Linked DNA regions of Oreochromis niloticus. The protein of the gene in region 1 interacts with the protein of each later gene in a pairwise test. Links are inferred from orthologs where the notes say so. Each region holds a gene or a part of one and is shown on either strand. Other genes may lie near its edges.

Evidence for each region.
Region 2: the proteins of tarbp2 (region 1) and znf346 interact in binary tests that used the Homo sapiens proteins (3 or more experiments, as listed by UniProt). The two-hybrid records come from large-scale screens. The link is inferred for Oreochromis niloticus from reciprocal best matches to the Homo sapiens genes TARBP2 and ZNF346.
Region 3: the proteins of tarbp2 (region 1) and tceanc interact in binary tests that used the Homo sapiens proteins (3 or more experiments, as listed by UniProt). The two-hybrid records come from large-scale screens. The link is inferred for Oreochromis niloticus from reciprocal best matches to the Homo sapiens genes TARBP2 and TCEANC.

Annotation. Positions count from the first base shown.
Region 1 is NC_031970.2:5,771,975-5,780,233, forward strand, and holds the start of tarbp2 (RISC-loading complex subunit tarbp2), read right to left. Parts: upstream 3,249-8,259; 5' UTR 3,086-3,248; coding exon 3,033-3,085; intron 1,527-3,032; coding exon 1,212-1,526; intron 1,064-1,211; coding exon 994-1,063; intron 891-993; coding exon 773-890; intron 312-772; coding exon 184-311; intron 1-183. UniProt on the Homo sapiens protein: Required for formation of the RNA induced silencing complex (RISC). Component of the RISC loading complex (RLC), also known as the micro-RNA (miRNA) loading complex (miRLC), which is composed of DICER1, AGO2 and TARBP2.
Region 2 is NC_031975.2:23,624,685-23,632,209, reverse strand, and holds the start of znf346 (zinc finger protein 346), read right to left. Parts: upstream 3,161-7,525; 5' UTR 3,061-3,160; coding exon 3,003-3,060; intron 1,270-3,002; coding exon 1,166-1,269; intron 429-1,165; coding exon 333-428; intron 1-332.
Region 3 is NC_031986.2:14,111,256-14,119,408, forward strand, and holds tceanc (transcription elongation factor A N-terminal and central domain-containing protein), read right to left. Parts: upstream 3,161-8,153; 5' UTR 3,014-3,160; intron 2,857-3,013; 5' UTR 2,852-2,856; coding exon 1,880-2,851; 3' UTR 116-1,879; downstream 1-115.

The DNA.
Region 1 (8,259 bases):
TAGAAGAGTAACAACAGGGCATATGAATCAGAGATTATGCTAAATTAATAATGCTTCAGAAAAAACAGAAAAATAAAATTTAAAAAAATATTTTGTTACTACGTAGAAGTGAAGTAAACTCTAATTCCTCTAATGATGCTTAATAAACATTTGTCAGTTAGTGTAGCAGTGTTTGATTCCCACCATAGTAAATGTATCATCTTCTGCATCAGCATCATTGCTGGTCCTCATATCTACGGGGACATCATGTATGCGTGACAACATCTTAGCTGCTGCGTTTCTCTTGGCTAGCTTCTTAGATGTACCGCTTCCTGGTGAGGAAGAGGAGATTGCATCAGAAACCAAAGGATGTGCTTGATATCTCTGAAGTTTTTCATGCTTTAAGAGAGTAAGTCAAGGAAAGTCACAAACTGGTTGACCAGTGTGAAAGGCGTAACAATAGATATATGATTTTGCTCAGTTTTATTAAGCTGTTTTCTATCAAAAATATTTAATTAGTGAACACACACCACCCACACACAAAATTGTGTTTTTCATGTCTTTGTGGGGACATCTAATTGACATCATGCTTTTCCTAGCAGCTTACCTTAACCATTAAAAATGAATGCCTAACCCCAACTAACCAAACTGTAACCCTGACACTAAAACCACATTTTGAGTCTCAAAAATGCCCGCAAACTCGTGGATCAGGCATTTTGTCCCCACAAAGATATGTAAACATGGTACACACACACGCGCACGCAGGCTGAGAGATTGAAACAAAGCCACGTACCGATTTCTACAAATCTCTCCACTCTGCAGGTCATGGTGAACTCTTTGCGATGTGCTGGACCAGACTCTTGAGTGACTGTGTACTCTGGCAAACGCCATCCTTTCTGCACCACCAGCTCCTGGCAGAACAAAGTAAAAAAGAAACCAAAAGTTGGAAAATTTATAAGCCGCAGAAATAATGACAGCAAAATGAAACCTTGGTAGCTGTCTGCGTTTATTTACCTGCAGAGCCCCTACAGGGTTGCATTCAGACTGCTGTGAAGTGCCTGTGGTCTTCATCTCTGACTGGGCACTACACAGATGTTGAGAAAAAAACAAAAAGGTAACAATGAAACCACACAAACCTCTATCTTACTTTTGTTAAGTGTTGAAATGCTCTTCTTAACATTCAGGCTGGCCTGCTTATTGGATGTTTAAAAAAATTAAACAGAAAAACTGACCCATCTGCATCAGTAGACACATCAACCCCAATAAACCCGTCTACTCCAATACCAACTCCGGCAGGACCTCCGAGGCCTCCCTTTAGCATCTTCAGAGCAGCCTCAGCTGCTTTGTGCTTGGCTGCCTTCTTGCTGGGCCCCTGGCCGGTGCAGCTGATCTCTCCGACGGAGACGCGGAACGTGAAGTTGGGCTGGTGGGCCTGTCCCTCGGCCTTCAGCAGGTCATACACTGGGGTCTTGCCTATCCGCGTTCCATACTCCTGCAGCAGACTGATGGGCGTCTTTCCGGGATTCACAGCCAGCATTTGCTCAATACTACATAAGAGAAAAACCTCGCATGAGACAAACTCTTCAGAAACACCTTTTCATACAAACAAGAAAAATAATTGTATATAGGGTTTAGTATATTGTGTGTAACTTCATAGTTTTACTTTGTTATCTATTATTTATTTTCATTTTCATACCTATATTTATTTTAGTTTTTATTCACTCAAAAATTAAAACAAAAACTATTAGGAGAGTAAAAATCTCACTAAATATTACGGGGAACTATGTTTTTGATACTTTTTCTATATATTTTGAATTCTCTGTCTTCAAAAGTAAAACAAAACACAGGTTCAAACAGAACTTGGACATATTAGAGTTACAGAAACAATTACAGTTACATATATCCATGCTTATATTCACCAATTAAATGAGACTTTAATTCACCTGAAAGTTGACAAAAATGTCAAATAATGTAGACAGAAGAGTAGAATAAAAAACTAAGTAAAAAGAAGAAAAATGCAATGTTTTCAAAGTCTGATCTGTATAAAAATAAATGGCTGCAAAAATGGTCATAAAACATCTGTGTAAAGTTGTGCTTCATTCTCACTGGAGAAACCAAACAGCCACTTCATAAATGGCACAACACAGAAGAGCCACCTCGACAGGACAAGACTCGGCTGCACGTCTGCATCTAAAGGTCAAAGGTCAGTCTTTCAAGGATGTCAATATTCACATTTTGGACAAAAGAAGACAGACGGTTTGAAAGAGGAGTGAACGAAGCCATCTATGTCCACTGTGAAGCATCATCTTTGAACTCTCTGCCACCTATAGTGTAGTTTCCCATGTAACTCACATGATAGGGTGAAGCAAGGTCTCACAATGGGTTCACAAGAAACCTCTGCTGATAATGACCCACACCCTTTTTCACACCTTGGCCCATGTGATGAGCCACATGATCAACAGTTGCTTACAATCTGGGACTTTCCAGCATTTGGTCATAGAACTGACGTAGCTTCTCGGATGAGAGGTAAAACATGTGCTTTAATAATGAAGGGTATCCTTCAGTGTTACTACTAGATAAGCTCTATGGAGCTCAGGTCCTCAGACATGGATAGACTTAGACAAAAAACAACAACAACAACAACAAAAAAACTTTCTTTAGTGGAGATCTGAATTTCGTGTTTAATGCACGTGCTGTAGATCAATACAGCCATCACTGATCTAATTATAGATTAATAGTCACTTTTCTATCGGAAAGGGGAAGCTTACAAAGTTTTCAGTGTGAGTGTAGCTACTTTATTATCGAAGAGTCTGAATACAGTGTGGAAACGGAGTAAAAGAGCATGGATGTCACCAAAGTCTGCAGACGACCCGATGCCGTCATTCTGGCGTCACAGTTTTGCAACGTGCAGCTGTCAGGAAAAAAAAAATGCTAGCAGTTCGTGTTTACAGCTCTGTTTCTGAAACGCTACTAAAAGCCAGCCTTCTCATCTTGTTTGTTACTGGAGGAGGAGTGTGGTGGACTGACCGGGGGAGCTGTTAGCTTAGCTTTACCTGGAGCACCCGGAGTTTCTCTTCCAGCTGTCCGATGCTGTCTCGTCGTTCATTCCCTATTTCACGCAGACAGAGCCGGTCGGTTTCGGATGGCAGTTCCCCCCCACCAAAACAGACACTTGCTTTCATCAGACGCTGTTTATTGTTTCCCCTTACAGATGATGAGGCGACGGCATAAAGCGAAGCCCCCCCGTCACTGCCGCCCCGACAGACTACAACAGCGGAATCCTCTGGCGCGAGGATATGACGTCAGCGGCTCACTGCGAAACCTCTGTTTTTTTTTAGCACGTTCAACGCTGAGATTTCACGAAACATCTCTTTCTATGGATGGTACAGACAGAAGTATACAACAGGCGTCAATCCAGGTATTTATGCACATCAGAGAGGTCAAAAAGTCAGACATTCTTCTTTCGGCTGTTCCCTGTAGGGGGCGCCAAACAAACCATCTGCTGTAGCATCGGCTGTGTCCCAATTCAGGGTATGCACGCTTGAAGTACGCGCACTACGCGTACTACGTACGGTGCGTACTACAAGTACGGGAAGTGCGGAAGTGAGAGGCTTGTGAAATGGGACGATCTAGCCTTCGTCGTGCTGTTCAGGTTGCCTAGCAACCATGATACTAACCGCGAGAAATGTTTCATACAGCTTTGTGTGACAGAAATGAAGGAGAAAAAATGTTTTGTTGTTCATTCATTTTTGTCATGACATCACTTTGATTAGTTGAGCCCACAGGACTGTAAAACATGATAGTTGGGCTTCATTTCTGTACTGAACAGTCATTTCAAGATTAGTTAGTAAATAATAATTAGCTAATGTTATTCATGAGACTAAAGTCATCTCACTGTGGTGATGTTAATATAATATGGACAATATTATATGTATTGTATATATATATATATATATATATATATATATATATATATATATATATATATGATCTTGAACTCTGGGTCAAAGATGCAAGTAGCAGTTATTTATATTTCCTATCACCTTAAATCTTCACTCAAAGACAAGTATCTCTGACAGTGTATATACAGATGTATTATATATAAGAGACAAACATTGTTCTTTCAATATGTTGGCATTACTAAATTTGGCTCAATGCTTATATATATATATGTGTAAAAAGCAAATGTACGAGCTGTGATAACCGTTTCTGATAGAATGAAGATCAGACTGATATATGAAATATTCCTTTATTGGGTGAGAAAATCAGACCGTGTCATAACTGCGTTAACTCATACAGAATAGATATCAGAGCCTTAAACAGGCTGACTTCTGCTAAATGGGTCAAACTGGGCAGAAAGTCTACAAACACATAACATCCTTATAGAATATGATGTAACACTATGGATCAACTTACCTCAGAATATATAAAGCATATAAACAATTACAGCAATATGATGCAACAAACACAGCAGCACTACTGATCCAAAATACTCAAAGCTTCATAGAACTGAAACAAACATTTATTTTTAGCTCCGTTCTGCTGCTGATACATACTTTAGGTTTCTGAATATTAAACTTGTTGCTGCCTTTCATACTGTGTAACTTGAAGGCTCTGAGTACTTTCTCTCACACTGAAAACACTGGAATGATAACATTATTTGAACATTACCTAATAAGACTGATTCAGGACAGACAATTAGTTATGTTAAACTTTCCTAGCAGTCCTTCACAAACAGGGAACAGTCTGTCTATTCTCTCCATCTGTCAGCTGCTGCTGGCTCTTCCTCCTCCTCTTCCTCACACACTGCTGAGTTTGTCCTGGTGGATCATCAGGGGTGCAAAGCCTCACAGATGATGTGCAGCAGTGGGTCCCTCAGTCTGTCCTCACTCTGGACACTTGCAGTTGTCACACATGGAAATCAAATGTGTGATAAGCTGCAGGATTCAAACACAAGTGTAACTTATAAATACATGTTCATACTTTTATTCCACAATCAGAGAGAAAGAAACAGAGAGAGAGAGTGCAGGACAGACAGACAGGTGACAGTCTCAGGTGTACACACTGCTACAAAACAGCACAAGAGAAGGAGGATTTAGTGTTTGTGTTATTACGAGTGCTAAACAAGAAGAGTTCCCAGATGGTCCAGTGGACACATGTGTGACTCCTGTGATTAAAGCATCTTTCTTTCAGCTTAACGAGTGAACCGTCAGCTCGTTCAAACACACGTTAAAGTCCGTTTGGCTCGACACCACCGAACAGAGGCAGCAATATAACATAGCTAACATTAACAGTGCAGTGAATCCTGCTTGTGCCGTCATATTCAGGACTGCAAACCGAGCAGCATCACTGACTTTCAGCTTGTTGTGTTTGTGGATATATGACTGACTTTAATTATCCATAAAATCATCACATTCTCTGTAAGATTAAGGTCAACTATATATATATTTAGAAGTAGAGGCTTTAAAACCAAGTTTACGCTGAAAGTACAAACATCACTAATGTCACATAACTTTCCCGACATGTGGCCAACAGTAATGTTTTAATGTTCTTAAACATTCGCACATAAATAAGTGACATCATATTCAGTACTTACTTTTGACAGTTCACTCTTCGGCCGCTCCCTTCTGCCGTATTTTGCGGCAAAATTATCCACACCCACCGCCGCGCTATGGATTGTGGGATATATGGGGCCAGGAAGCGTGCACCGGACCACGCTTGATATTTGGGGAAATCGACGGCGCATTTGGAGTATGCATTTGAAGTACACTTTGAATTGGGACAGCCGTCGTCGCGTGGCGGTGACGTAATCGCACTTGAAACGCGTACTTCAAGCGTGCAGACCCTGAATTGGGACACAGCCATCGTCTTCTGTCACACCACCCTACTACATGTCCTTTCTCGCTGCATCTATGAATCTTCTCAGTGGGCTTCATCTTTCCCCCTGCTTGGCAGCTTCATCTCCAGCTCAAATCTCAGCATCTTCAGCTCTGCCTGCTGTCTTTTGTCAGCGCCATCATCTCCAAACTGTGAACATGGTCCACATTTTTTGGTAAATGATCGCTTTCACGGTAGTGAAGTCTTAAAAGTGCAGCAGGCCACTGAGGATTTAAAAACAGATTGGTAAGAAAACAGAGAAGTCCTGCATCACGTTGAATTACATTTGTTACTTAACTTTTAAGGTATTTGTTTTAGCCTGTAAATAAAAAATCGCCTTATAGTTTATTTTTTACAGTCATTTCTACAGTTTTATATGTTTTGCATGAGGTAGCTGAACTGTGTATGATTTGGCGTTCCTAAATGTAACCAGAAGAGGGCGACAGTTAGCTATAGATTTCCCCCGCTGACAGCCCTCCCTGTCGGGTCCCTGGGATGTCCAGCACCTGTCATATCCACTACAGACCAACGTGGCAACACGAGAAATTCCTTTCGTGTAGTGGACTGACCACCCTAAAGCTGAAAATAAGTTTTTGAAATCAGATATGCCCCAAAGTGTTTATTCTGAAAACATTCAGAGTTAAACCTCTCCATGGAATAAAAAAGGTTATAAACTTTCAAAAGAAACATTTTCAGCACTTTTAATTTATTTTAAAAGATTACAATGAAAAATAATTTACCCAAGTAAATGTTTTTACAATGATATTACAGTCAGGCAGCTCTATTAATTTGGGATCTTTTTCCCTGCTTGGTTTGGAAAGATGTGTCTTCATAAATAGCCAAAGGAACCGTGCAGACCCCAGAAATCATCTGAACCCACAACGTCAGAGTCTCCTTTCCAAATTATGTAGCAGCGCTTTCGTAAAATGTTTTATTTTATTAGCATTTTCCACCTTTCCATGAATTATCTTTAATTCCGGGGATCAACAATTAATCCCATGATGGTGTGCTTGCAAAGCCCTGCTGGCCACTGTCGAACCAGAGCTCTGAAAACTTCGTCCACTGGCATCAGCGTGTCAGTGTGGATAAGCCCGCTTTGCCAAACGCAACACAAAGTGAACTGGCCATGACAATGAGTAGAGCTGCCTCCCATTTGAACTCCTAAACCTACAATCCGAGCAGCGTGATTTATCACTGACCTGAGTATCTGTGACCGGAGTGCACCCCTCCTCCTCATTACTCATACTTACAGTGTTAATTTGTCTTATTCTCTGAGACTTTATTTATCAGCTGAAGGCTCCAATTTATTGACCTATAATGTGATAATGTAAGCGTTTTTATTGAGCTTGTGGTTAAATCCTTGACTGAATGAGATCAGCGATGAATGCCATCTCTTAGCAGTTACAGTATACTTCATCCAAATTGTATGCGCACATCCACAAACACACTTTCCTTTTCCCTGCCTTGGCCTGGTGCATTAGTATGTGTGGTTCTTTGCTTGCCAAAATCATCAGTAGATATCTTGAAGCCCCGAGCTGCTCTTTTTCCCTCCTTCCACAATATGATGTGTTTCCTTTTTTGTGTGTGTTTTGATCCTTCTCTTGCGGCCAGGCTGTGCTGTGGTGAGGCGCGGGTTCGAGTGGCGCTCCTGTGTTATTTTTGGCAGCAGCAGTGGTTGGTGGCTGTTGAGGAGAGAGGAGACAGAAGGGGGATAGCATGAAGACCAAAACCAAGGCTGTTTAAGGGATTTCTGTCTGAAGGAATTGCTTTGTAATGATCGCACACTCATTATGGATGTGCGTGCGTGCATACATTCACTCACGCACACAGAAAAAAAAAGCTGGCATGCACATTTGTTCATTTAACACTTCTCAAACACCTCGTATACATGCTCTCATTCATGGACCACACACTCAGAGTGGCTAAATTGCCCAACCTGTGATTTTTTTTTTCTTTTTCACTGAATCTACACGATCCACAAGCTGTCGTTTGAATATATCAGCACAGTCACACATTCGGCTTTGGTTAATTTTCTGTGTTTCTGTCATACTGGGAGTATCTTTTGCTGTGAATGTTCTCTCTTTCTCTGAGGGAACCAGACTGAGACATGCTCAGGCAACACGCAGTGTCAGACATTCACGCTCCTCCCTCCGCGCTTCTGAAAACACCATTTGAAAAAGATTTTCTCCGACTCCGCTCTTGGCCACAGATCAAGAGAACGTTATTACTCGACTTTATTTATTTATATATTGTGGTGGTAATGTGTGTGAATGTATGCGCGCTTGTATGTATGTGTGAGTGAGTGATATGTAATTGTGTATGTATGTGTGTTAACCCGCAAAGATATTTCAATTTCTTCAGAATATTAAATAAACATGCAGCAGCAGCAGCAGCTTCAGTGAA
Region 2 (7,525 bases), on another chromosome or scaffold:
TGGGGAGCATTTCAGGATAAACTATTTAAACTGTGTTAAATTCATCTGAATAATTTCATCATCATTTTTGAAAACCTGACAGCCCCGGCTGGCTGATGTGAGCAGGTTTTATATAAACTGAAGAGCAGGCAGATATGACTGGAACATTCACTGATGGTCTTAAAATACACAAACCTCCCACTGAAAAAGTGCAAGACACACTGGGAGAGCCAACTGCTCAAGATCAAAGATATCTCTAAAAGTACTTTGTTTCAGATTTATAGTTGGCGAGGTAATAGTGACTCATAAAAAGTTTTCTCGGTGCTGGTTTGAGTTCTCTACTTTTTACTCACGCTGTCAGACGTTAAGGGCTTCAGCTTTTTGAGTGCTGGCTCTTTTTCATTTTGGATGGAAAGATAGCGCCGCACTTTGTTGGCATGCTTCTTGCTCTGAAAGGACAAGCACAAAGGTTTATTCCACAGTGGACACAAACATTCACTGCACATTTCTAACACGTTTATGTCTCCAAACTTTAGCATATCAATATTTCAGGTAAAATATAACTGTATTTAATATAACCTTTTCAGTGTTGCATTTATGGATCGACATCAATCTACTACTGCTAATTTACTACACAATAAATGCCAAATACTGCAACTACACGTTTTTAGATGTAAGTATTTCCTATTTTTCTTTGGTTTGATTCTTTGCAAAGAGAGCCAGCAATCACAAATGAATGTATAAATCAAACAATGTCCAATCATTTTACTTAAACTAGACATTAGTATTTGAAAAGCTGTTTACTTTTGCAGATTTGTCAAAATTTAGAATAACTTAGAATTGTCTCCTCTTCATCATCCACTTTGCAGCAGGGGAAAAAACAGAAGTGCATCACAGCAAACATCTGGTCAGCACTGTAGCCAAAGGTCCACTTACTCTCAGCTAGTTGAACAGCCCTTCAGCCCTCTTTTGCTATATTTGTGATTTACTGGACAGCCTAATGATGATGTGCTATTACAGCTTTAATAAACTTTTAATGTAGTGCCAAGTCCATTCAATAATAACACCTTATAAGTGATAAGTGTGCACTTTTTCTCTCATTGCTGAAAACTGTAGCACCATCTAATGAAAGCTAAGTCCCCTGACACCAACACAGCAGCACGCAGCAGACCGTGGGCTCACTGACCTGATAATGAGTCAACTTCTGAGATTCAGAAATTAGGACAGCACTGCAGACTTTACACTGGGAGTCAGAAAACAGGTCGCCATGCTCCTTTATCATCTTATTTACTGCAAAGGAGGGGAAAGGGAGAGAGAGAGAAACTTCAAATCAGGTTACATCATCTGGGAAAATGCAATTATAACACAACGTGAAGAGACTATTTGTGGCAGCAGTTCAAACAACATATCTGCTCGAGCTACTCCTTTTACTTACCAAGGATGTAAGAGCTCAAATGCACTATTCTGTTTTATTTAATAGTGTTATGAAAAATACAAACAGTTTTCTGGATTAACCATTATCTTGCCTATGGGTTTATGGCAATGCCTGTGCAAACATCTGTGAATAACATACTACAAGACACAGAAGCATGGTTTTTGGGGTTTTTTTAGGCCCAACTCTGCTTTTTAGTCTTAGTCATTCTTGGCTCATACCAAGCAGATCACTAATTCATCTTGATATCTCAAAAGTAAAATATATATGTATAAATAATTTTAAAAAAAACACACACACACACAAAACAGGTGGTGTATTATCCTGAGAGGCAGCCGAATTGGTTGGTTACAGCTCTGTAGGAGGATGGCATGGCATGTCACGTCGCCTTTACACATGTAGGAGCACAGTGTATTTTTAAGCATTTACAATCTGAATGTGTCACATTAGAGGATTCAGAATCCTGTTAAAGTCACAGCTTTTTGTTATTCAGACTTGGGCGTCTTGTTATGCAAACACTCCTCACAGCTTTGAAGATGACAGGACCTCAACAGAAGACGCTGCAATGCTCATGTGGAATTTGGAACCAAAATGGAAAAAGGATCAGAAGGGAAAAAAAACTGCAGTGAAAACACTGCATATGCAAAAAGTAAATGCTGTTTTAGCTGTTTACCAAAAGCTTTCTCATTTACAGGTCTTAAACTGCACAGTTTTTGTTGTTGTTGTTCGTTTGTTTTTTATTATCATTTCATAGCCAAACTGTGGGAAGGTTTTAGGAATTACAAAGCTCAGTCTTTTTCGAGGCACCAAAATTAAATGGACAATTGAATCTGTGGTTGGATCGCAGTCACAGTTGCCATTTAGGCTGCAAAAAGTGTGCAGTGGGAATATAAGTCGCCCAATCAACGATTTGATGTATTCCGAGAATGAAAGAACACACTGGAGAAAAAAATCTGCATGTCCACCAAAGACAACACACTGGATGGTCGTGGCATCCTTTCCAAAGTAGAGGGGGGGAAAAAAACAAACAAAACAGACTCTCCAAGACTAACATAAAGAGTATGTACACTAAAGTCTACACCCTGGATAATTATCTGGAAATACATCGAATCGAATATTGGCACGCATAAATTTAAAACAAAAACTTTTAGATAATTCATACACTTGTGGTTATGACACTGTCCTGAGCTGAAATCTCACATGTATCTTGCTTGCATTACTAAACACACAAGCAAGACCAGCAGAAGTGCAATCCGCATGGCCTGAAAGACGCATTTCAGCTGATGCCAAGCCAAAGATGCCTCCCTCTGTCTGTATTAGTAACCATTCAGGCCAAATGTTTCACAGTCACTGAAAAGCAACATCGGATGCAGACGTGCTCTAGTCGACCTTGGAACCGAAACGGCTACAGCTAGCATAGCACATTTTAGCAACTCGATGCGCTTATTACTGAAGTACCGGCTAACGTTAGCTTTGCGAAGGTAACAACAGCGCCGGTATTTTAAGCAATAACAGGGAGGGCCTTTACACAGTGCAACCGCGCCTTTTTCTTCTAAAACAAACGTTAAATTGTTAAATAAACAGGACATACTCTCTGCTGGTCCCGAAGGTAAGTAAGGAAAATCGTCGGTCTGCATCGCGACGGCCATAGATTCTACTCACAGCCAGCGGCGTCCGAACACGCATGCGCAACTCGCAGGCAGAGCAAAAGGACTTCCCACTGTGGGCTGTTCTCTAACAGGCAGGCAGCACAGACAGTTTTCAGTGCATTTGAGCCTGTTTCTTAGCTGTCACACTCAGTTTGGACTTGCGTATATCCGTAGTGGGATACCAATTGTAGAAATACCTTTTATTCACATCTCATGTCGGAATATTTCCCCGGTAGCATGCAGACCAGGCAGTCCTCTCCACAATGGAAAATGATTTGTTACAAACGACAAGCCACTCGATTTAATGTTTTTTTCAGGCCAAATCGTCCATATACACGTTGTCCTTCGTTGTGTGTTTGGATTTTTGTGGGTGACAAGTCCACTGGTTACGAAGCGAAGTTTCCGTAGTGTAGTGGTTATCACGTTCGCCTAACACGCGAAAGGTCCCCGGTTCGAAACCGGGCGGAAACATGTTTTTCGTTTTCTGTATTGTATCGTTTCTACGGAAGAGGATTAGGGCCCCAGGGGGAAAAAAGAGTGGGAATGTCTTTTTTTTCTTTTCCAGAATTCTGAGAAAAAAGTTAGAATTCTGACTTTAGTCTAAGAATTCCCACTTTAATCTCAGAGTTCTGACTTTTTCTCAGAAAAAAGTCGGAATTCTTCTCAGAATACTGAGAGAAAAAAGAGAAATTCTGAGAAGAATACTGAGAGAAAAAGTCAGAATCAAGACAGAATTCTGAGAAAAAAGTTCTGACTTCAGGATTCTGATTTTTTTCTCAGAATTCCGGAAAAGAAAAAAAAAGACGTGCCCACCTTTTTTTTTTCCGGTGGACCTAATCCTCTTCGGTAATGACTTATATGACTTGAATGACTTCCCGGTTCGAAATTGTAATTATAACATGTCTTTTAGACTGTATTTTCGCAACAGCAGGCCTGTAACTTTATAAAAGTGAGTATTTTTGCATGTCGCCAAATCGTGTGTGACAATATTAGATTGTGACATGTATATTGTGACATGTATATCATTGTAAAACAATATATTATTGGAAAATGAGAGAAGACTTATCGCACCGAGTTTCCGTAGTGTAGTGGTTATCACGTTCGCCTCACACGCGAAAGGTCCCCGGTTCGAAACCGGGCGGAAACATCATACCTTTTTCTTTATAATTATTCTTCACGTTATCAAGAAAACAGAATTACTAAACAGTCACCTGACGATTTATTAGGTACATTGTGCCTTCAGATCTCCCTTTGTTCTTCATGACATAGATCCAACAAGGTGCTGGAAACGCACCTTGCAGATATTTGGTCCACACTGGCCACACTGGTCCTAAATTGTTGCTAGGATGGATCCATGCTTTCCATCTGTGTCACAGCAGATACTGAGACACATCACAGTAAGCACAGTTCATATCATATCTTATTGTCTGATTTTCTCCAACATTCAAACATTCATAGGATTTGTTCTTAATGATCGCAGTCACACGTGTTTCTGCTGAATCTGAGTCAGTCACTAGGTGGGGACAAATAACTATTAACAAAAAACTCAACGGCGACGGAAGGAGAGTTGCTGTAGCATTATACTGGTTAATGGAAAATGCATTTAGAAGTTTCCGTTGTATAATTTCTGCAGCATCGTGCAACTTTGAGTTTTAGCATAATACAGCAGTGTAGTAAATTTGCGCAGTCCGTATGTGCCGACGAGATGAAGAATTAATGCAGCAGACAGGGTATGACAGGATTAGTAGATAATACTGGAAAATTACTTTAACTGTGGGCTTTTATTTTTATACTGACCTGTTCCATGGTGACCAACCGGCAGTTCAACAGGTTTCCGTAGTGTAGTGGTTATCACGTTCGCCTAACACGCGAAAGGTCCCCGGTTCGAAACCGGGCGGAAACATTATTTGCTTTCCCTGAGTTACACTTTTCATAAACATTACGTTATTAACTGAAGTAACAAGCCATATTTGTGGTCACCGAGTTAGGTGGGGTGCTTTTTCCTTCAGTAGAACAACGGAGCTTCAGGAGGTGCAGGGGTGTCAAACGGCCGCTGGCTGTGTCCAGATGTTGCAGAGAACACCACTCATGTAAGAGGGCCCTCGCCTGTGTGGTAACGACTGGGTTTTTCAACAGGACAGTTCTACAGTACACAGTGACTGCAGGACAAGGGACTTCTCTGAGAAAATAACATCACTCTTTTGGACCATCCTACGTGTTCCCCTGATCTAAAATCCAATTGAGAACCTTTGGGGATGGATGGCAAGGCACATTTACAAAACTGGACAACAGTTCCAGACAGTAGATGCCCCATCTTCACCACGAATTGTGTTCCCACTCACGTCATGGGAACGCAGATACTGAGGCGCATCACAGTTCGCAGTCACACGTGTTTCTGCTGAATCTGAGTAAGCCACTAGGTGGAGACAAATAACTATTAACTAAACACTCAACGGAGACCGAAGGAGAGTTGCTGTGGCAATATACTGGATAATGGAAATGCTTTGAAGTTTCTGTTTGGAAGTTTGGAAGTTTCTGCTGCATTGCATATTTTCTGCAGCATAGTGCAACTTTACGAGGATACACAGAGTTTTTATAGTGAGGTGATTGTCATGGCCACCTACTATGATATGCAGTGTATTAACAGAGCGATAACTAAGGCAAATGTGCGCAGACAGGGTATGACTATATAATAACAATATTAGACTGATAAAATCTCTTTAAATGTTATTCATTTTCTCAAGATAACCCGTTCTGAATGCTAAGCAAGTTTCCGTAGTGTAGTGGTTATCACGTTCGCCTAACACGCGAAAGGTCCCCGGTTCGAAACCGGGCGGAAACATATGGTTTTGGTTTACTTGAAAAAACTACAGTAAAGTTACTGTCTTCATAATTATTCCATGACGTGAAATGGTAAGTCTCCTAAGATGTCGTATCGTTATTAACCCCTTAAGATAAGTCTTTGAGTTTTCACAAGATTGTTAGACACCCAAGGTATCAATCTGGTAACTCTCCTAACAAAAACTTGTCTCAGGGGTTAGGGTGAAGTCGGGCCAGTTTCTTCCACCTCTCATTCTCTTCCTCTTTTCGATTTCCAAAGTCATCCTACAGACTGCCGTCCGATGCTGCCTACATACATTCTCCCCCATCTCTTTCACATTGCACCTTCTGCATAAGATATCCTCCTGTGTACACCTTCAATCACTCTTCTATGTCACCCTGTGTTCCTTCTTCTTCATAAAAGGGCATGTTCACCACAGTAATTTCCATCCTTTCTGCAAAATGCAACTGGCCCAGCTTGACCTCTCCACTGAAGGAAGAACGTTCACCCCTGCAGAGATCAAGACCTCAAGACCCTCACGGCCGCCCTACTCGACCCCCTGCAGTTTACATGCAGAGCCAACAGGTCTGTAGATGATGCTATCAACATGGCTCTACACTTCATCCTGCAGCATCTGGACCCCCCGGGGACCTATGCCAGGATCCTGTTTGTGCCTGTTTGTTTCAACACCATCCTTCCAGACCATCTCCAAGGCAAGCTTTCCCAGATGAATGTGCCTGATCCCATCTGCCGGTGGATCACTGACTTCCTGACAGACAGGAAGCAGCATGTGAGGCTGAGGAAGAATGTCTCGGACTTCCGGACCATCAGCACTGGCTCCCCCCAAGGCTGTGTTCTTTCTCCTCTGATCTTCTCCCTGTACACCAACTGCTGCACCTCCAACCACCAGTCTGTCAAGCTAATTAAGTTTACAGATGACACCACTGTTATCGGACTCATCTCGGACGGGGATGAGTGTCTCTACAGGAGGGAGATTGAACATCTGGTGTCCTGGTGCAGCCACAACAACCTGGTGCTGAACGCCCAGAAGACAGTGGAGATTACTGTGGACTTCAGGAAGCACACAGCCCCACTTCTCACCCTGGACACAGTCTATTTTAACTGCTCCCTTTAGACAGGAGGTTTCGGTTCATTCGGACCAGAACCTCTCGCCATAAGAACATTTTCTTCTCCTCTGCTGTTGGACTCATGAACAATAACCATATGACTGCTCCTACCACAAACACATGAACCTATACTGTGTTCTCTGCATCTGTTCCATTTTTGCACTGATCATTACCTGCGTACATGTATATATCAGTCTGCTTAGCACTTTTAATTTTTATTTTTATGTTTATTTATGTGTTTGTCTTACATTATGTTTTGCACTAAGTACTGCAGCAATTTGCTAATGTTGTAAACCTGCCCAACATTTGGCAAAAAAACCCTTTCTGAATATGATTCTGAGAGATTCAAAGGTAATAAATCAAAAGCCGAAAATTGCATTTCTGGTTGATAGAAAAAAATTATGTTTTCTTGTTTTTCTCTGATGCAAAACTCCGTTCTGCTTTTTTTAAAATGTATTTTTATTGGGAAATCTGACTTCCTCTTCCTCTCTAGATCTCTCTCTTCAAGAACAGGAGC
Region 3 (8,153 bases), on another chromosome or scaffold:
AAATATGGTTGATTCAAACCCAAGACCTTCTTGCTACAAGACAGCAGTCCTAACTATCTCGCCAACAGCTGCCACTCCAACTTATGTAAATCTACAGTTCTCTTCAGTGAGTTCCTTGAATTTTCCAATTGTTCTGAGTATTCTGAGTCAGTCCAATGAGTGCTGTCAAACAAATCCTTTTTATGCTGTAAAGATAAACTCCCTTCTGTACCCAATCATAATCCCTAATGAGGAGTTAATAGGCCTTAGCTTTGTTAAGACATTGTAGAACCTACAGCACCACCTATTAAAATATTAAAATGATTGTTCTTTAGAGTAATTCCGTACAATCATTCCACCCTGAAAACAGAACAGCTCAAAGAAATCATTAAAAGCCCAAAACTAGCATCACAGTTATGCCCTTGATGAGTGGATGTAAACTTCTCACCACAGCTGTATGTGGCTGCAGAGCATCAATCTGACAGGGCACGTCACTAAAATGCTCCTTATCTACTTAAAAGATAAGGAGCACGTGAGAGGGGATGGAATACAGACAAATGCACCAGCGTCGAGATACCAAACACGATAGAAAGATATGGGGGTTTTTTTCATATTTGGCCATTTTACCTTCGGCCTGCTGCAAAAATCAGAAAAGATGCAATAGGCCAGGACGTGACATAAATAATGACGCAGGAAGAACAGCTGAGGATAAAAATAAGTCATTTTCTCTGTAATATCTTCACACACAAAAAAAGACTGCTTCATGTGACATCACAGTGACGTGTATGTGAGTCATTGTGCCACGCTGGCTGGAGCACCATGGGATATCCGCCCCTCCGGCTGCTAGGGAGGGCAGATTACTGGCTCACATGCTCGGAGTTCTTCAGGGGTCACATGTCTCATCTGCTGGATTCAGTTTGCTACAAATGAATGGGATATTGTAGAGCAGAGGCATGTTTTAAAGAATTCCCCCACCGTGTTAATACTCAGAAATACTGACAATAAGTGCAAAATAATGCATTTTTTTCATAAAACTTATAAAATTAAACATTAGCGAAGCCAGTGGTCAAGGCATTAATGGATCTTTAGATCAGTAATGTAAGAGAGAGCGGCCAGTAAAAGCAGTTAAATGAGCTACTGTAAGTAGAAATAAAATGAAGGGCTATTACAGAGAGTGGAGACACAGGAAATGATTCAGCGGGAAGAAGATGACGACAGCTACTTCTTGAAAATCCATGGTTTCAGTCGGAGACTGCAATGACTTGGCATTTCAGCCGGTAAAGATACAGTTTAGGCTTTCAGCTGTGGGTTTTAGTGGTCAATGCATGAAAGACAAAGCACAAATCCTATGGGAAAAAATCTGGTTTAAACCACAAGTATGCACTTCATCCTGCAGGAAAGTTTCCACTCTGCATCCCATGTGACCAATCCTCCTGTTTCAGAGCTGAGTTTATAACACTCAAAACATTTAACTGGTCACAGGAAAGCCTTTATAATACCAAATTGTGAACTAGGGGTGAAACTTGGAAAACCAACTCAAACAAGTGCAATTTTACAGTGGGCAGAACAGCTGAAACAACCAATCAACTAAATGGCTGGAAATTCATCTGCAACAATGGCAGTTTAAGTCAATTTATTATGTAAATGTGTAAAGAAAAGCCTTCAAAATGTATTATTTCAAAACTAGCAACACTGAGTATCTGAGCTAGGAATCCAAGAAGGTCATGTTCCAGATTTCTGAACATTTTTAACTCCACAGATGTCAAAAAATAAGAAAGTAAATCATTAATGAAAGTTCTACACAGCATGATTCTTGTGCAAAATGGTTAAAAATCTGTTATTTTCATTATCAGTTAACCTGCTCTTAGCTTTCTTAGTCATGTATGTTATCCATGTGGATTCAGAGGCAGACCCAGCTGCTGTGGTACCACTGCTGGCCACACCCGCTGCAGGTCACAAAGGTCATTGCATCCTCATCTGGGCCGCCCTGCCTCACCCACGCAGGCAAGAACAGAACCCCTCTGGACACCTGCGTCACCCTACAGTCTGACCCCCCGCATCTTTTGCATCGAATCTTCTCCGTCCGCGTCCCCTCTATCCCTTGAGGAAGCTGCCTCTCACTCACGCCCTGGGAGGAGTACTCCTCCCTCAGCTGCCGCAGCTCTGCGCTGGCCATATCCTCCGCAGACATGCGGGCGAAGGCCTCGGGGGACAGGGAGCCACTCAGGAGGCCCTGATGCAGGTGGCCGCTTTTGGGATTCCTCAAGTTGGCCACCTTGCTCCTCACACAGGCTTTATATTTGACCTGGTTGTGATTATGAAGTTCGTGGACGTGCCGCTCGATGTCTCGGGCCAACTCAGCAGCCTTGTCCTGATCGGGGGCAGAGGGGCAGAGGGCAGCAAGGAGGAGCTGCACACATTTGGTTCTCACGTTATCTGGAGATGCAGCAGAAGTATGAGCTTTGGGTCCAGGTTTAGCCTGCATAGATGATGGTTCTCCTGCAGCATTCCCCTCTCCACCATCACATGTTTGGGCAGAAACCGCACCACCCACGGCTTCTTTTGGTGAAGAAACACTGGCAGGGAGCTCAGGATCCTCGCTCTCCTCTGTGCACTTCACCCCTTGCCTGTCCTTCGTGTACTGTCTCTTCCACTCGGACAGCAAGCTCTTGACTGTCTTCTTCACGCTGTCATCAGTGCAGGTTTTCAGGAGCCTGTAGAGCACTTTGACGATGTCAGTTGTTTCCAGCTGTTCCGCTGTGACGTGAGACTTCTGGAGGTCACCAAGGAGGGTCATGATGTTCCCATAGCTTCTGTCTGCACTGAATTTCTCTATCTGAAGAGCACAGCGGAGCATCTCCTTTGGATCCATTGTGGCTGCAAAGACACAAAAGTAAAGATGAAACAATGAATGTTTTTTTTCTTAATGTGGTGATGTTTGCCCCTCACTGCAAAATGAAGCACTGCTCTCCTGAAAGCACAGCAGTATGTACCACTTAGCAACACATTAAAATAGACTTTTGCACATGTTTACCTGAGTTCCTTCATGGTTTGCAGTTTCTTCCTGCTAACAGTGAGCCTAGCAAACGTCTACATGGGAGCAGCCATGTTGAATGTGTCTCCACGGGAGAAAAATGCCAGCATTCACCTCTAGATGGAGCTGTAGCCTCACAAAGTCAATGTGTGCATGAGGGTAGTGCAGGTAGTTTCCCATCACTTTCTTAAAATGGAACTATATATATGTATGTATGCAATCTTTTTTCCCCTAAAAACAGGGATTAATGCAACATTACAAATGAAACCTCTTTGCAATGAAAGTGTCACCATGAATCCCCGAATCAGTACACTGCGGCCTGTTTAATCTGAAAGTATCCCAGCAGAGCTTTCCAGCTGTGCTGTCAGTCTGTGCTTTATCTAAAATGTACTGTGGGATTAGTGCTTTATGTGAGGATTTAGGTGTGTGCTTTTGGATTTTCCAGGTTACTCCCACGGCCAAACTTCTGTCTATTTTAACGCCTCTTTCCTGTTTTTCCCACAATAACAAATGTGGATGAACCTGTGCTAAACCACACGAGGAGCTGAGGGTGTCGTCCAGACAAAGTGTTCGATTTCAAATGTGTGTTGCATTAATGGCTATTATTATAGCCTTATGTTCCTTCTTTTCAGCTCCTGAGATCGAGATGAAAGATATTTGGTTCAGCGTGCAGAAACGTGTAATCCTCGCATCCAAGCAGCCAAATGACCTCCAGACAGGAATTCAGTGGAACTGATCTCGTGACAAGATGAGGCAAGTCTTTCAGCTGTGCTGCAATTACATGTTTTGATGGAAGAAGATGAATGAGTGTTTAGGATAATTCGTGGTTGTGGAGCTAAGACCAGAAAAGTTCCAGCGGACGCACCAGTTCGCAGGTAGTTGTTAGTATTTCGTGGAAGCCTGGAACATGGTTTGATGTAATCACACCATCGACGGTGACGTGAATGAGAGAAAAATGCAGGCTTAATTGCATGGCTGAAAGGTTGATTATGTATTAATTGGATGTTGTCTGAATGGGAGCATTGACAAAACAATTCAATAATACCTTTAGGGCTTTATGGACTGTACGGAAATTGCTGAAGTGATGAAGGAGGCTGATTTAGTCTGTGTTTGCCTATTTTGTTGCTTTATTCCCTTTTTCCCAACAGCACGGCACATTCATCATCATTTTTTGTTTCCAAACATGCAGCACTGACTCACCCGAACACACTCATACTAACTACTAAAATAATATAACGAAAAGGAGTTAGTGCTTTCCATTTCTATGGTGAGCAAAGAAGACCAAATGTAAACTCACCAACTGTATTGCTAGTACTGGTTTGGACCCTCTTGGCTTCAGAACAGCCTCAGTTCTGTGTTGCATAGATTCAACAAGCTGCTGGAAACATTCCTTAGAGTTTTTGATCCATATCGACATGATAGCATCATCCATTTGTTGGCTGCACATGGCTCCATGATGTGAATCTTCTGTTCCACCACATCTCATTGGTGCTGCATCGCGCTGGGATCTCATGACTGTGAAGGATATTTGTGACACAGTGTTTCATCCTGCTGGAAGCAGCCAGCAGAAGATGGTACACTGTGGTCATGACAGCATGAACATGGTCAGCAACAACACTCAAGTAGACTGTGGTGTTTAAATAAGGCTCAGTTGGTACTCAAGGGTCGAAAGGCATGCCAAGAAAACATTCCCTACACCGTTACACCAACACCAGCAGCCTGAACTGAGGCTGGATGTTGTTTATGCTAAATTCTAAATGCTGGAGCAGAAATGTTTGGTGAACTTGTGAAAATCTTAGCCTCAGTTTTCTGTTCTTAGCTGGCAGGAGTGGCGCCGGGTGTGGTCTACTGCTGTTGTAGCCTTTTTTTTTACCTTTACATTCAGAGATGCTCATTACAACCTTGGTTGTCATCACAACCTTGCTTGTAATGGGTGGTTATTTTAGTTACTGTTGCCTTTCGATCAGGTCAAAGCAGTCTGGTCTTTCTGACCTCAGCCATCAGCAAGGCATCTGAATGCACAACACATCAAACCTTGAAGTAACAGAAGACCACACCCAGGGTCGCTGAGGCTACAATTTACAAGAGCTCACCAAAATTGGACATTAGAAGATTGAAAAAACATTGACTGGTTTGTCTCAATTTCTAATGCAACATTCAGATAGTAGTACACATTTGGAGTAAATAACATAAAAGCATGGATCCTGCAGGCTTGTACAACCAGTCGGTGGTGTAATGGTGTGGGGGATATTGTAGAGTAGATTATAGCGACTTATCTTGCAACATAAGGCTAAAGGTAAGCATAAAAATAAATGATGTCAAAAGGAGTTCCTTTACACAAGAAACAAAGCACGAAACCCTCTACATTTTCAAAATCTTAATTATAAGGACAAATATTTTTGTACAGCCCCTTATAAGTTACTCGAGAATATATGTATTTTTCTGTAAGTATTATTTTCACATCTGAGGTGCTGGTTTCAACAAATTTGGCGATAGCTGCAGTGGCAGAAGTTGTAAAGCCTTCCAAGACTCCTTTGACTGTGAATTGCATTCATAAATTAAAGATAAACAGAAACCACGAGCTGCCTTTATATCAAAATGAGCTTTTTATTCACTGAAGCACGTTTAATAGTCCTGCCAAATCATATATGTTATTATTCATACACAAAAGCCCAGATGAAATGTAATTACATGAACAGGGCGCCATTATGCAACTGCTGGTGTGACATCACCCTCCTGATCTTACATTAAAATGTGCTTTCAAGATTCATGCAGCTGGGGCCGATAGCAGTGGAGGCCTCAAGGGAAAATTGATTCGGTGTCTCTTCGCATAATAGCTTCTGGTTCTCAAGTTCAAAGAGCTGCTTTTAAAACCCCAAATGGAAGTTAAAGCTTCCAGGAGGCTTTTAGCAGCGTTAATGTTTAACTTTTCTTCTCTGGCTTGAGGAGTTTTCTTTGAGCGTGTGAGGAAATGTGCTGTGAGGGATATTTGAGGTTCTGTAAGCGAGCTTTCTTTTGTTAAGTGGATTTTGTGAACTAAAACTCCAACCTTTCACACATGTAGAAGGGTCCTGAGTGTTGACCCCCACCGAGGTGTGGATTGAGATGGGTGGGGTCCGGCTGAGCCATCAGTGAACACATGTAAAACTCCTCTTTCTGTGGTTAAATACATTAAACCTGCTGAATTTTGAACCCTCAAACAAACACGAGTGATTTCCATCACAAGAGTCACAAGACACCTTGCATCTTATCAAGTCATTTCAGTGCGGCCTGCTTGCACTTGTGCACTTTCTTATCACTGGGAGTGGAATTTTACCAGCACGCAGCTGCTGTGACAGCCGAGCGCCGAGAGGTGGCGCTCTCTGCACTGCGCTGGTTTGAACAGAGCCTATGAGGAAGTGGAGTCCTGCTGTATCACATCCTGCTTTTGTTGTCCCCGCCTTCTCGATGGCGTGTACGCTTGAGCACACACACACACACATACGCGCACACACTACCCCGCCCTGAGCTTGAGAAATTCTGAGGAGGAGCATGGCCTTCTTGTTAGAGTGATCAGCTTTTTCATGGTCAGACATTCATGACAACATGGTAAGTCCCTGCACCCGCAACCACGACCTGAAAATACCCCCCAACGCTGCCAAGTGCATGTGTGAAAGACAACAAAGTGAAAAGGTGTTATAAGAAATCATCAGTCACATGGTGCTGAGTTACAACAGCCAGTGTCAGTGCAATAATAAGCCTTGTTCTTAACAGGGTGAGAGAAGGTTAGAAAACAGGAAGAGCTACACATATTTGCTTTTTTTTTTTTGGCAGAAGTCTGATCTGACTTTTCGGTGGGGGAAGAGGAAATGTTTTTTTGTTTTCTTCCCATTTTTGACATTCCAAAGGAAAAAAATGTGAATTTTACTGCAAACAGCAACATTTTTATTGATTGTATCCTATTTGTTTAAAGTGAAACAAGTTTTATCATGTAATGCTCTATAATTAGAGTGCTTTGCCTTTCAGATGTTATTAAATATGATGAAAATGATGTGTTTTATTTATTTATGTGATCTCTCTCTGTAAAAACACATGCGACAGAGACTGTGGGGTTTTTTATGCTGTGAGAGCAAAATCAACTCTTATTTTGTATCTATGCTTAATGCTCTTGACAGGTCATGTGTGTGTGTGTGTGTGTGTGTGTGTGTGTGTGTGTGTGTGTGTGTGTGTGTGTGTGTGTGTGTGTGTGTGTGTGCATGTGTTGAGAGGGACTTGTCTGGCAGTGCCCTACCCATCATACCCTTCCCATCCGTCATTACCTTGAGGGTAATCACTGATGACTGGACTGGATTCTGTTTGTTTTCTCTTTGCTTCTGCCTCAGGGTTCATTCTGTTTTGTCTGAAGCTCTGCAAAGATTTTTTTGGTGCTTCTGGACTTTCTATTTGTGTGTGTCTGTGTGGGAGGAGGAGGAGTAAGGGGTGGGGGTGGGGGTGGGGGGGTTAATAAATGTTATAAAGAGGCAAAGTATAGACAAAATGTCATGTTTTGGGTTTTTTTTAGCTTGTGCTTATTTGGAGTCCTGCAAACCCAGAGGCAGGAAATGAGCCTCCCCAAACATGAAACCGCTAAGAGCGCAGTTGCTGTGTCTTCTCTTGCTGATCATAATATTTTTCCTATTTGATTAAGAAAAAAAACTCTGTTCTATCAGAAGCGATGAGGAAGTGCAGACGATTGTGACTTGTTTGTGCTTTGCTCAACAGCGGAGTCAAAGCAGAATCACGAGACTCACTCTAACCCTTTTCTTGATTATGGTGAAACAATGCTGTGCAAGGTGCTTTGTAAGCAACTCAATTTCATAGCGCCTCTGGGGATGTGACGCAGCACTTGATAGCAGTTCAAAGCAAACTTGGGAGCTCAAAGTGTACACTCTGAAATAGTTTCATTAAATTGTTTCCTTTTGTATAACTGCCTCTGTTAACCCTTTGTACCAAAGAGAAAATTTTAGCATTGATTTTGCTATTCTGATCCTCTGAGGGTTCAACCATATGTTTCCTCCCCTGCACAAATAATTATCCACATTGATTCATCACATTTGTTTTCCCATGAACCCCCCTTCCTCTCTCTCCCACACACACACACCAACTGGACGCATGCTCTGCC